Caenorhabditis elegans: one gene and its partner. The protein of the gene in region 1 interacts with the protein of each later gene in a pairwise test. Each region holds a gene or a part of one and is shown in the gene's direction. Other genes may lie near its edges.

Evidence for each region. Proteins that work in one complex are often made in the same cells at the same time.
Region 2: the proteins of dyci-1 (region 1) and dyrb-1 interact in a two-hybrid assay, tested with the Caenorhabditis elegans proteins (3 studies listed by BioGRID).

What each region holds. Positions count from the first base shown.
Region 1 is NC_003282.8:6,778,836-6,786,800, reverse strand, and holds dyci-1 (WD_REPEATS_REGION domain-containing protein), read left to right. Parts: upstream 1-2,460; 5' UTR 2,461-2,461; coding exon 2,462-2,632; intron 2,633-3,000; coding exon 3,001-3,195; intron 3,196-3,291; coding exon 3,292-3,418; intron 3,419-3,491; coding exon 3,492-3,688; intron 3,689-3,796; coding exon 3,797-4,018; intron 4,019-4,071; coding exon 4,072-4,287; intron 4,288-4,891; coding exon 4,892-5,068; intron 5,069-5,122; coding exon 5,123-5,258; intron 5,259-5,489; coding exon 5,490-5,713; intron 5,714-5,992; coding exon 5,993-6,101; intron 6,102-6,188; coding exon 6,189-6,291; intron 6,292-6,341; coding exon 6,342-6,396; 3' UTR 6,397-6,956; downstream 6,957-7,965. Other genes in the region: anat-1 (N-acetyltransferase domain-containing protein), read right to left, coding at 7,331-7,444, 7,911-7,965.
Region 2 is NC_003280.10:9,105,517-9,109,487, reverse strand, and holds dyrb-1 (Dynein light chain roadblock), read left to right. Parts: upstream 1-2,342; coding exon 2,343-2,421; intron 2,422-2,655; coding exon 2,656-2,864; 3' UTR 2,865-2,973; downstream 2,974-3,971. Other genes in the region: dnj-23 (J domain-containing protein), read left to right, coding at 940-1,027, 1,079-1,533, 1,580-1,645, 1,749-1,868.

The sequences.
Region 1 (7,965 bases):
GAACTATTACAATTAATTCGATTTTTTTTTCTTTTTATACGGTACCAATGGTCCGGTGTTGATTATTGTGATTTTGTGTTGTTCCAGTGTTCTTGTTAATTTTTTAGAAATTTTTCTAACATTGCAATCAAAGGTTTCATCGAAAAAATTCGATTTTTTCAGTGGGAATCGAAAAACAAACATTTTCGATTTTCCGGACAACTGAAAAGCCAAAACAAATTTTGAAATTTCACCATAAAATTCAATTTTTATCAAGTAATAAAAATAAAAAAGCGAAAATTTTAAATCTTCCGATTTTTGAAAAATTCAAAAATCCGGCGCCTTTGGTTGCAATCGTGTTTTGAAAAAAGAAACCGTACACTTTTGGGGTTATTCAAGTAGTGTCGGAAAATTAAAAAGTGTAGAAAAATTACGTCACAACCTTATTCAAGTATATAAAAACATGTATTTAAATACATTTGTGACGTCACAAATGTATTTAAATACATTTTGCTACATTACTTGAATAACCCCACTTCCAATAAAAAAAAACTCCGGAAAGAAGAATTGCCACGTCATCTGTTTCTTTTTTCATCAATTAATGTTCCCTATCTTTTTTCCCTCTGTTTTCTCTCTTATTTCGGTCTCGGCGCCGCTCAAAAGCACTCGCAGAGTCGACCCAATGTAGAGAGCACACGATTCAGAGAGACTTAGACCATATGTGGCGCCAGGGCGCATTCCCTTCCTAGCACTGCGTCTCTTCAATTGGTTCAATCTCTCATAGTAATGTCCGAGAGAGAAAGAGAATTTCGCAATAGTTAGGGAACCCCCTATGGTTTTTTAAATAAGAATTTTTGAATATTTGTTAATTGCGCACTTTAATAACGACAGAGAGAACAATGCGATGTTTTTTGGCTAAACAAAATTCTAGAGAATCAAAAACGGATTCAGCCTAATTTTTTTTGGATCTAAAACGTAATCTGACATTATAAAATTTTTTATTCGAGCGATCCGTAAATTTTTCAAAAAAATCTTGGTTGCACAGGAAGACAGACGGGTGTAATTGCTATTTTCAAGCGTTTTTCAATGTTTTTTCGTTTTTCAATATTTCATGTTTTTGCAAACAATTTAGCATGAAATATTCTCACAATTTCACGAGAATAAAATTGAATAATATTCTCATTCAAAAAATAAAACTGGTTACGATTCCTAATTCTCAGTTTGAATCTAAAATGCAACGTAGGATCAATACAATTACTCAAGAGGAAATTCTAATTCGACGATAACAATTTTTTTAATTTGAAATTTCCATCAAATCTGCGCCCTACCGCTCCCTCTGTTCTCGTAGTTTCCCGCCGCTGTCCGTCCTACCAGCAAAGATCGACAGCTCCTTTTCTCTTTTCCTCTCTAACTCTCTAATGTTAGCGACCTTTGCGACGGATCGGCTTGTGTGGTGTCGGCACAGTTTGTCCCCTGTCGTTTCATTATCTGCGCTTCTCCACTCTAGTGTGCTCTCTCTCTCTCTCTAGTTGATCCCTCAAATTATTGTAAATACTCTTTTTACAGCTCTCTCTAACTACTCTAGGTGTTCCTAAGTTTCATTCAATCTATCATATTTCCTATCTTTTTGTGTCTCTGATATCTTCAGGTATGTGTATGAGTGGAGGGAATAGAATAGTAGAGAAAACAGTAAGTACATACACACATAACAGGAAGGAAGGAAAAACAATTTCAACATTTGTTTCTTTCAAATTCTTTGTTATCAGAGTTCCAGTTTCGCCTAAATCCCTGAATTCCCTTGAAACTGGAGTAGCTTCTTTGGTTTTTTTCCCAAAATGACAGAAAACAGTCTCAATACACCTATTATAAATCTAAAAAAGTTTATAGAATTGTTCTAAATTTTTAATGATTTTTTCAGGTTTGCAGAAATAAAAAAATAATAATGGCTTAATTATTTTTGAATTCTCGCACAAATGGTCATTTTGTTTTTTTTTTCGTTTTCCGGCTGTTTATATTATTTTGGCTTTCTTGGCAAACGATGTTTTATATCAAACATGAAGGAAATTTCCTCCTAGGAAAAACTAAAATGAAAAAATGTCGAAACTAGCTGATTCATTTGCTCGGGAACTCAAAAATAAATCCACTTTTTTGTTGCAAAATTAAATAAAAAATCTTGAAAAATTTAGAAAAATTCTATAATTTTTCCAGTTTTTTGGTATATTGAGGTCTTTTAAGCAAAGAAAATCCTCCAAATACGATACAACGCCTTTAATTAATTGAAGTCACACTCCATTATTCATCGCTAACATTAAAAAAAAACAAAAAAAAACAGATGATGATGTCCTTCGTAGATATCTCGAACTTCTCTCTATCTCTAATTCTACCATCTGCTTTTGAATTTCGAAACAACATTTCCTTCTCTGAATTGCCTTTTTTTCAAAACTACATTTTTTAGGTTTAGAAAAAACAATTTTATTTCAGAATGTCAGAACTGAGGAAACTCGAACTTGAACGTAAAAAGCAGAAATTGGCAGAGCTGAAATCTCAGCGGAAACGTGAAGAAGATGCTCGAGTTCAAAATCTGCTCCGTTCCACAAATGAAAATGGAACAACACAGAATGGAACGTCTCGACAGACTCTTTCATCGAATGAGGTATATTATTATGTTCTATTATCCCGACTCGAAATTTTTAGAGTTTTTGCCTAGAAATACTGTACCCGGTCTCGACACGACAATTTTTTATTATTTTTCATAGTTTTTCGTTTAAAATAATTAAGTTTTCCATTTAAAAAATTGCGAGAAAACCAATGAAAATTTCTGAAAATCGGCAGCAAAGAGAGTTTTAAACTACAGTAATTTTTAAAGGCGCATACCTTTTTGAAATTAACAAAATTTTGTCGTGTAGAGGCCTGACACTGTATTTTTTCAAACATTTCAGAATTTCGCGTCAAGAAATTGAAAATTAAACTGTTACAAGTTTCACAATCATATTTCTACTTTTTAACTAAATTATTTTTTAGGTCGAGGATATTCTCCGTCAAGTAGGTATTTCAACTGAGCCAACAGTTCGGGAAGAATCTCCGGCACCACCTCCTGGTTCTCATTCTGATAATCATGTGGATCCATCAGCCAGCCATCCACGCATTTCAAATCTCCTTTCAGTCGACTTGGAATTTTCCAGTGTACAGACAGCGTGCACGGATAACAAAGATTCGGTAAGCTTTATTTTTTTCGAGGGAAAATATCGAGAATTAATTTTAAAAACTCGAATTCCTGCTTTTTTTAATGATTTTAGTATTAAAATTTTCCAGGCAATTTACTCGAAAGGAACCCAGACTGACGATGAGCGAATTTCAGTCGGCGAATTTTCGTTAGGAAGCCAAGAATTCGATTATGATGATGATATGATTATGCCAATGGATCACGGTCAGTTCAGAGGTTTGTGCATGGTTTTTTTTTCCTGAATTTCAGTTTTACTCGAACACCATAATTTTAAAATTCATGGTTTCAGGTCGTGCTCACTCACACGATCAAGATTCCCCACTTCCTTACAACGAAGAAATTGCAAAACTTCTGGGACAGACAAAGCAGGGAGACAAGGGACTGACACGACAGGAGACTGAAGAGAAAAAGACACAAACTGTTCAGATTGTTCCACCACTTAGTGATGAAGAGAAATATCGTTTGACTCTTGATCCTGAGTTTTTGGTGAGTTAAAAAATATGAGGTTGGCATTTTTGTGAAAAAATATGTTTAACTGCCCAAAAGTTAATTCAATTTTTAATTCATGACTGAAGCTTATGGTTTTGTTTCCAGGACTCTTTCAATCGCTCTTGCAAAGTAATCAGTCGTGCTCTCAACGAGGAAATTGACATTTGTATTAACTACACTAAAGATCCATATGAGAAAGCTATTGCATCTGATGATCTACTTCATTTGGCACAAGTATATCAAGATGAGACATGGACTGCTAAACGATTAGTTACAGGAATGGCATTTTCTGAGCATTATCCTGATTTGTTAGCTGTTTCTTATGGGGTAATTAACATTTAAAACTATATACATGATTATTAATTTCCTTTCTTTTTCAGCCATGTGACATTCCAAATGAGCCACCCGGTGTTATTGTCGTTTGGAATACAAAGTCGAAGCGAATGACTGCTGAATTCATTGTCTATTGTCAATCTGAAATTCAATCCGTCGCTTTTGCTCGTTTCCATGCTCATTTGCTTCTCGCTGGATGTGAATCTGGACAGATTTGTGTATGGGATAATCGATTGACAAGTCGAAAGTTGCCAATAAATAGAGTGAGTTTTTTTTGTATTTTAAACTTTAAAAAACCTGAGAAAAAATCAAAGTTTCCTGTTGCAAAAAAGCGTTGCACAGAAAATGAGGCGGCGCGTAATTTCGCAAACCTGCTGCACGATTTTTTCTCTTTTTTCCCCCGTTTCAACTGCTCTTTTCAATAAAGTCTCGATTTTACTTTTTAGTTTAATTTTTAAATGAAAATATTATCATATACATAAATTCTCGTAAGTTATAAAAATATTTCATGTTTTAAAACCTATTTAGCATGAAATATCGTCAAAATCGTATGAGAATTAAATTGGACAACATTTTCATGCCAAAAAAACAAGTAAAATCGAAACTTAATTGAAAAATAAAAAAGGCAGTAGAAAACGAGCGAAGAATAAGGAGAAAAACCGTGCCGCATTGTTGCGAAATTACGCCCCGCCTCTATTTCTGTGCGACGCTGTTTTTTTTTCAAAATTTGCACATCAATCCTTCAATTACAACAGTAATGTTACTGTTACGTATCTTGAAAATTTTGAAGTTTTTTTTTTCAAAAAAGTTCTACGAAAATTGATTAAATTATTTTAATTTCTATCCGATGTTAACTCATTTTTCCAGAGTCCTCTAACAACTCAAGCTCACACGTATACTGTATCATGTCTTGCTGTCGTTGGTACCAAAAATGCTCATAACTTTGTTTCATTAAGTCGAGACGGACGAATTTGCAGTTGGAATGTCGATAATTTGACACAACCTGTGGATGGAAAAGAACTGATGACAAAGGAAGGAAAAGCTGTATGGTTTTTATCGATATTAAATAATTTTGAAACAAAAAATTCGAATTTCCAGGCTTCCGCCACCAGAATGTCATTCCCAATCGGTGAAATGCAAACATTTGTCGTTGGAACAGATACTGGAGAGATTCTTGCTGCATCAAGGAATGGAGCTGATCCAGCTGTCATTAAAACTGACGTTTGTTACAAAGGTTGGGATTTAGGTCTCGAAGCGACCGATTTTTCTTGAATTATTTTCAAAAAATTTAAAAGTACATCAAATTTTCAAGAAAAGAGGAAAAAAAATGAAGAAAAAAAATTCCACCAAAACTAGGAGTTAGCAACAAGGGCGTACTGTATTTTTTTTCCAAAAATCGAAAAAATTTTGAGCAGTCAAAAATGTGAATTTTATCTTGATAAAAATTTTAAATAAATAATTTCAGGTCACAGTGGTACTCTGACGGGAATTGAATTTCATAGAGCTTCTGGTGTTGTCGACTTCTCACATCTTTTTATTTCTTCATCTCACGATTGGACAGTGAAGCTATGGAGCACAAAAGATGCAAATTTAAAATTCTCATTTGAATCACATCCTGATCTCGTTTTGGATGTTGCATGGTCACCAGTTCATCCAGCTGTGTTTGCATCTATTGATGCTGATGGAAATGTGAGAGATTTATTTTTATTTTGACTGAATTTATAGAAATCGATCAGTAAATTTTGCAAAAAACAGCGCCGAGCAGAATTGGATAACCTTTACATTCTGAAAACGAGTAAAATCGAGACTTTATTGAAAAAATCAACAAAAAAGCAGTGGAATACGGACGAAAAAAAGGAAAAAAACTGTGCCGCAGGATTGCGAAAATACGCTCCGCCTCTGTTCTTTTTGCAAAATTCATTTGATCGATCGTTTAATTTCAACAATATTATATTTTAACGTTTTCAGATTTTCGTGTGGAATTTGAATGAGGATGTTGAAGGACCAGTTGCAAGACTTCGCGCCGGAGCCGAAGGAGAATCTGTTTATATGAATCGACTGATTTGGTCACCTGATGGTAAGAAGCAATTTTTTTTAATAATGCAAAATCCTACAATGAAACTGAATGTATTGGACTAAAAATTTTAAAATCCGTATTTTTCAGGAAAACACGTGTTCGTTGGTGATGATGAGGGTCGAGTACATATGTATGATGTTCGGGAAAGTTTGTACGTGTTGAAGAGCGAAGAATGGAATCGATTTGCTAGGTAAGCAGCTACCCGTTCCTCTTTCTACATGAAAAATGTGCAATTTTCAGAGTTTTATCTGATATGAAGCAATCGAATGAGGAAGCGGAGAATTATAACATGTAGACGAATGCGCGGTTCTTTCCAATCTTAACTTTAATCAGATTTTCTATTTATCATATTTAAATCATAGGTACTTGTTTTTTAAATCCCTTACAAAGCATATTTTCCCACGCTTTCTTATTGAAACGTGGCAACTGGTGCCAACTCTTCTTGTGTGTGTAATTGTGTGCTCTAAAAACGTTGCTCCTCTTTCTTCTCGGTTCATTTAATTATTTGTTGCTTATAAATATCCCCGCTAAATTTTTTTGTGATTATCTGCTATTTACTCAATTTTTTCTCGTTTTTCATTTTCTCTGAAAAACTTTTTTTCCTGACAGCTCTTCTTCCACGTCGTTTTCAGTTATTCCCGTTATTTTCCTGAGCTTTTTCTCTCCCCGATCACACTGATTCGACTTTTTTGCTCTAATTTATTAATTGATATTTATCAATTGTTTCTTTTTAAATGCTTCATACAGTCCCCCACCACAGCTCCCAATTGTTCTCTAAAAATGGTTTATTTGATTTCTTCTTTTCTTATCAAGTTTCGATGATAGCGATCAATGCGAATGAACAGTTTTATGAAAAAATCACCTTTTTTTTGTAATTTTGTTTCCATCAAAAAGCAGTAGTGAGAGCTCAATACAGTTTTGAATATTCATTTCTCAAAAGTGTTTCGCGGTAATCATACAAAATATATAATAATGTGAAATTGGGACAACGAGGGAATAGTTTTTAATTGAAAATGATCGCAGAAAGAAGAATCGATTGTTTTTTGTTTTGATTGACAAAAGAATGCAAATGCAGTGGGATTTTGATTGGGAGAGAAGGAGAGAAGAAAACATTCAGCGTATATTCAAAAAAAAACAGTGCCAGATTTCGATAGAAAATTGATTAAGAGAGAAGCTTGAAGGCGACGGATTCGTTGTGATACTCATAGATCATAGGTTGGAGCCGCAACTCAATTAAACTTCGAGAGCATCGCATATACACTATGGAATGTTTCTGGTGGACGCATCACGATTGGTGGACGAAGATGTTCTCCTTTGAAAGCATCGTAACGAACAGCAGCGAACTGAAAAATATAATAATAATGTGAAAACTATATGATTTATTATAAGGAGGCAGAAAAATGCCCACTTATAAATCGAAACGCGCTCCATAGCCAACTGAAAACGCTTCGCCTCCGAATAATGGGTCTCGTCAGGTATTTGTGGGCAAAACCGTAAATTCAAACAGTTTCAATTATTTCGCCAATTTCAAGCATGTTTTCCTTTGTTTTTGATGATTTTTACGTCGGAATGATTTTAAAGCATAGCCAAAAAAGAGAAAAAATGTTTGAAGTTGGCGAAACTAATTGAAAACGTTTGAATTTATCGTTTTGCCACCAAATGCCTAACGAGACCCATGGTTAGGGGGCGGACGATTTTCAATTGGATGTAGAACGCTTTTCCACATGATTTTGTAGAGTTTTTGTCTTCGTCCCAATAATATTTATCATTTTTATTGGAATTCTCTGGTGGATCTGTTCGAATTCTTACATCAGTTGGGCAATAAGTCTTCATCAATTTATGTCCTCGCTCATTACTGCACAAA
Region 2 (3,971 bases), on another chromosome or scaffold:
CGAAATTGGGAGGGCTCGGAGAGCTCAGGAGAGAAATAGCTATGAGATGGAAGGAGGGCGCTAGGCGCCTAGAGATGGGAATGTATGTGGAATAATAGTCTTGCTAGGAAAAAGGACACGGCCTCGTTCTCGTTTTGCCTCGATTTTGCCTCTCTCTCTCTCTCGCAAACAGGCATCAAAGACTACATTGTAGTCTGCTCGTTCTGTAACTTTCATGCCTTTCGAGTTTGTGGAGTGACAATGAGCCTACTTCAAATAATGTTACGAAACTTTAATGTTTGGAATAAGGGGAAACAAACAGCAAATTTTTTTAGAACAAAATTCAGAAAAAAAAACAAATAAATTCGGTTTCAATCGGGCGAATTTGGTTACGGTGTTAATTAAAGGTGCATACGAGTTTCAGATGACAAGGTCTCACCACGAATCACAGTCTCATGGAGTTTTTTGAATTTGTTTTTTTTCTTATTTAATTTTCAACTCCTTTTTATCGATTTTTTCTATTCTTCAGCACGAAATTAAGAATAAATTGAAAAATATTGTAAAAGTAAAATAAAAAAATTTCGCAATAGTTAACCCCAATCTTAAAACTCCTGACTTAAAATTGAATTTAAAGTCATTTCCATGATCCATTTCTGTTAAATACATTTCTTCGTGTATTAGGCAACAAACAACGCTCCAAATAATTTATATTCATCCACTCCTGTTATCATTAATATAAATATTAGTAGGTAACGCGTTTCTGCAGAAATTTCATGTCTATTTTGCATTTTTTAAATTCAATTCTGACCGAAACTCGTGTTTGAACATGGCGCTTTTTTATTTGTTCGTTAGAGCAAATTTGCGATTCCAGTCATTTTATTTGAACGTTCTTCTCCCAGTGGTATTCACTCTTTCGCAACTGTTTTCTATTGATTTCTTCCATTTTTCAGCCAGCTGATTATGTTTCTGGAAGAATGCAAAACTCACTTCAATACGGATTGTCTCTACGAGCTTCTTGGCGTGAAGAAAGATTGCGATGAGAAAGCTCGTAAGTTTTTGGGAAACAAATGTTTAAAGTTAGCGAAAATTTATTTTTTAGTTAAAAAAGGATACTACCGCCAATCAATGCGCTGGCATCCGGATAAATCGAATCTTGTAGAAGAAGATATGCAGACGTACACAACGAAGTTTCAGCTTCTCAACAAAGCTTATCAAATTCTTTCCGATGAAGAGAAAAGGAAAATTTACGATGAAACCGGATCAGTGGACGATGAGGCTGGAGAGCTGAATGAAGATGCCTTGAAAGCATGGAGAATGATTTTCAAAAAGGTGACAAAAGAGGATATCGATAGCTTCATGAAGACGTATCAAGGATCTCGTGAACAGAAGGATGAGCTCGTTGTGCATTACGAGAAATTCAATGGAGATATCGCGAAAATCAGAGAATATGCTATCGGATTCGATGGCGTCGAAGAGTTGAAAGAAGCATTGGATAAACTTATTGATGATGGAGAAATTGAGAAGACGAAGAAATATGAAACGAGCACTTCAGATGTAAGTAATGCAGGTGAAATATGTTAAAATTTATGTTTTATTTCAGAAGAAGATGAAGGCTTACAAGCGTAAGGCTGAGAAGGAGGCAATCGAAGTTGAGAACATGACACAGGTATGTCATGGCAGTAAAATCTGTCACTTTATTTATAAGTTTTATCATTTACCGTTAGGTTACATTTTTAGTATATTCATATGCATAATTATTTAATTTCCAGAACAATTCGGATCTTGTCGCCCTGATTCAAGGTCGCCAGAAGGAACGTGGCACGTCGTTCCTCGATTCACTGGCTGCCAAGTATGCACCTTCTTCCTCCAAAAAGGCAAAGCGGCAGTAATTGAATCAGAATCCGCCCCTTCTTTCGTCACAACTTATCTTTCTTCCTTTCTCTATCTTCTTACTTTTCCGTATTTATGTATTCCCCTTCCATTGGTCACTGCTCCTTGTTCCATACACTCCGGAATTATTTTTTCTAACTTTTGAGATCTCTAATCGTTTCTTTTGAACTCAATTTTTTATAACTGAAAACTTGTGAAATTGCTATGTGGTATTTATAAAAAACATGCTCACTTCTTATTTTGTGTTATTTTGTTTTTATGCCAAAAGTTGTGCCCAACTTTTGAATATCTTCTTTTCGTTTTCTCGTCGCCAAGTTTTCAATATCCGACGAAAGGAAATTGAATTTATATCTCCTCAAGTGGAAAATGGAGAAAATTTTGGCAGTTCTCAGTCGACCAGCAAGTGAAAAATTGCATTTCTGTGCTTATTTTTCTTCCATCTTACAAACTTATCAATTTCCATTTGATTTCAGATGTCTGATTTCGAGGAGACTATTCGCCGTCTACAGTCAGAGAAAGGAGTCGTTGGAATTATTGTTGTCGATTCAGCCGGTACGTTTTCCTAGATAATTCTATCCTGAAAATTGTTTAGAAATGTAAAATCAAAATTAAAAAAAAAACAAAATTAATAGAAATTGTAAAAGTTTAGAAACTAGAAAGTAACATTTAGAAAAGTTAGTGTGGTCTCAGCCGAATGGGAATTACCACCAAACCTTGACAACTAATTTTCCATAAGCTTTGACCAATAAACAATAACTGTTTTCCATGAAACTAGATATTTTTCAGGCCGAGTTATTCATTCGACAATCGACAGCGACGCCACCCAGTCTCACACCGCATTCCTGCAGCAGTTATGTGAGAAGACAAAGACTTCCATTCGTGAACTCGATTCGAGCAATGATCTAACATTCCTGAGGCTTCGAACGAAGAAGAACGAAATCATGATTGCTCCAGACAAGGATCACGTCATTATGGTTATCAAGGACCTCTCGTAAAAACTGGGACCAACATTCAAAAATAATGAAAAAGCATTATATCTTTCTACCCTGCTTGTGCGATTTTAATTTATATCAGATATTTTTTCCAAATAAACGGCTTATATGCAGTTGTTTTTTCTTTTGAAAATGCTTAGAACAGTGTCCCTCCACGTAGTAAAAATACGTCCGTAGCAAAAGAGTAAAACGTAGTAAAACATCCACGTAGTAAAAGATAAGGTAGTAAAAAAGTATTTTCCGTAGTAAAAGATCTATGTGGTCAAATCGTAGTAAAAGATATCACGTAGTAAAAGAGCTAACTGTAGTAAAAGATCTAGATGCGGAATTCGTAGTAAAAGAGATTCCGTAGTAAAAGAGATGTTGTAGTAAAAGAGATACGTAGTAAAAGATCAAGTAGTAAAACAGTATTTGCCCAATTTTTGCCTCACCCTCCGTATTCGCCAAACTTGGTTCCTACTAACTACTATCTGTTCCGTTCTCTAAAATCACCTTGCCAGGCATAAGTTTCATGATCGAAAGGTCGTCGAAACGTGATTGGACGACTTTCTACTTTACCTCTCAGAAGTTCTGTGCGGAGGGTATTGCTTAGCTTCCGTTGCGTTGGCAAGAAGTCATAGGCACTAATGATGAATATATCACCCATTGAATCTTGTTCGCTTTGAATAAATACTCTCCAAAAAAAAAAAATTTTGCAACAAAAAAAAACAATTTTTTTCAATCTGTCGTTGGAAAATTGGTGGTATTAATAATCGTATAGTACTACCGTACGCCTGGAGTATTTCAAAACAATATTTTATTTTTGAAACAGTCAAAAATTATGCCGAACAAACTTGAAGAAACCAAATGATAATTAGCATGAAATGAAAATGCAAGACAAGAAAAACATGGAAAGAGCAAGCAATAAAATGTAGCCTAAACAGAAAAAATACAAATTTGTCACTACCATACAAGAACCATACAAGAATTAATAAAGTGAAAACTCAAATAAATAAACACAATCAAATTTAAAGAACTTAGTCGCCTTTGCGAGAATGCACGTCATCAGTCACGAGGATACATGTGGCTGGAATTCTGAAATAAAAATCAAAATAATTTTCATTATTAATT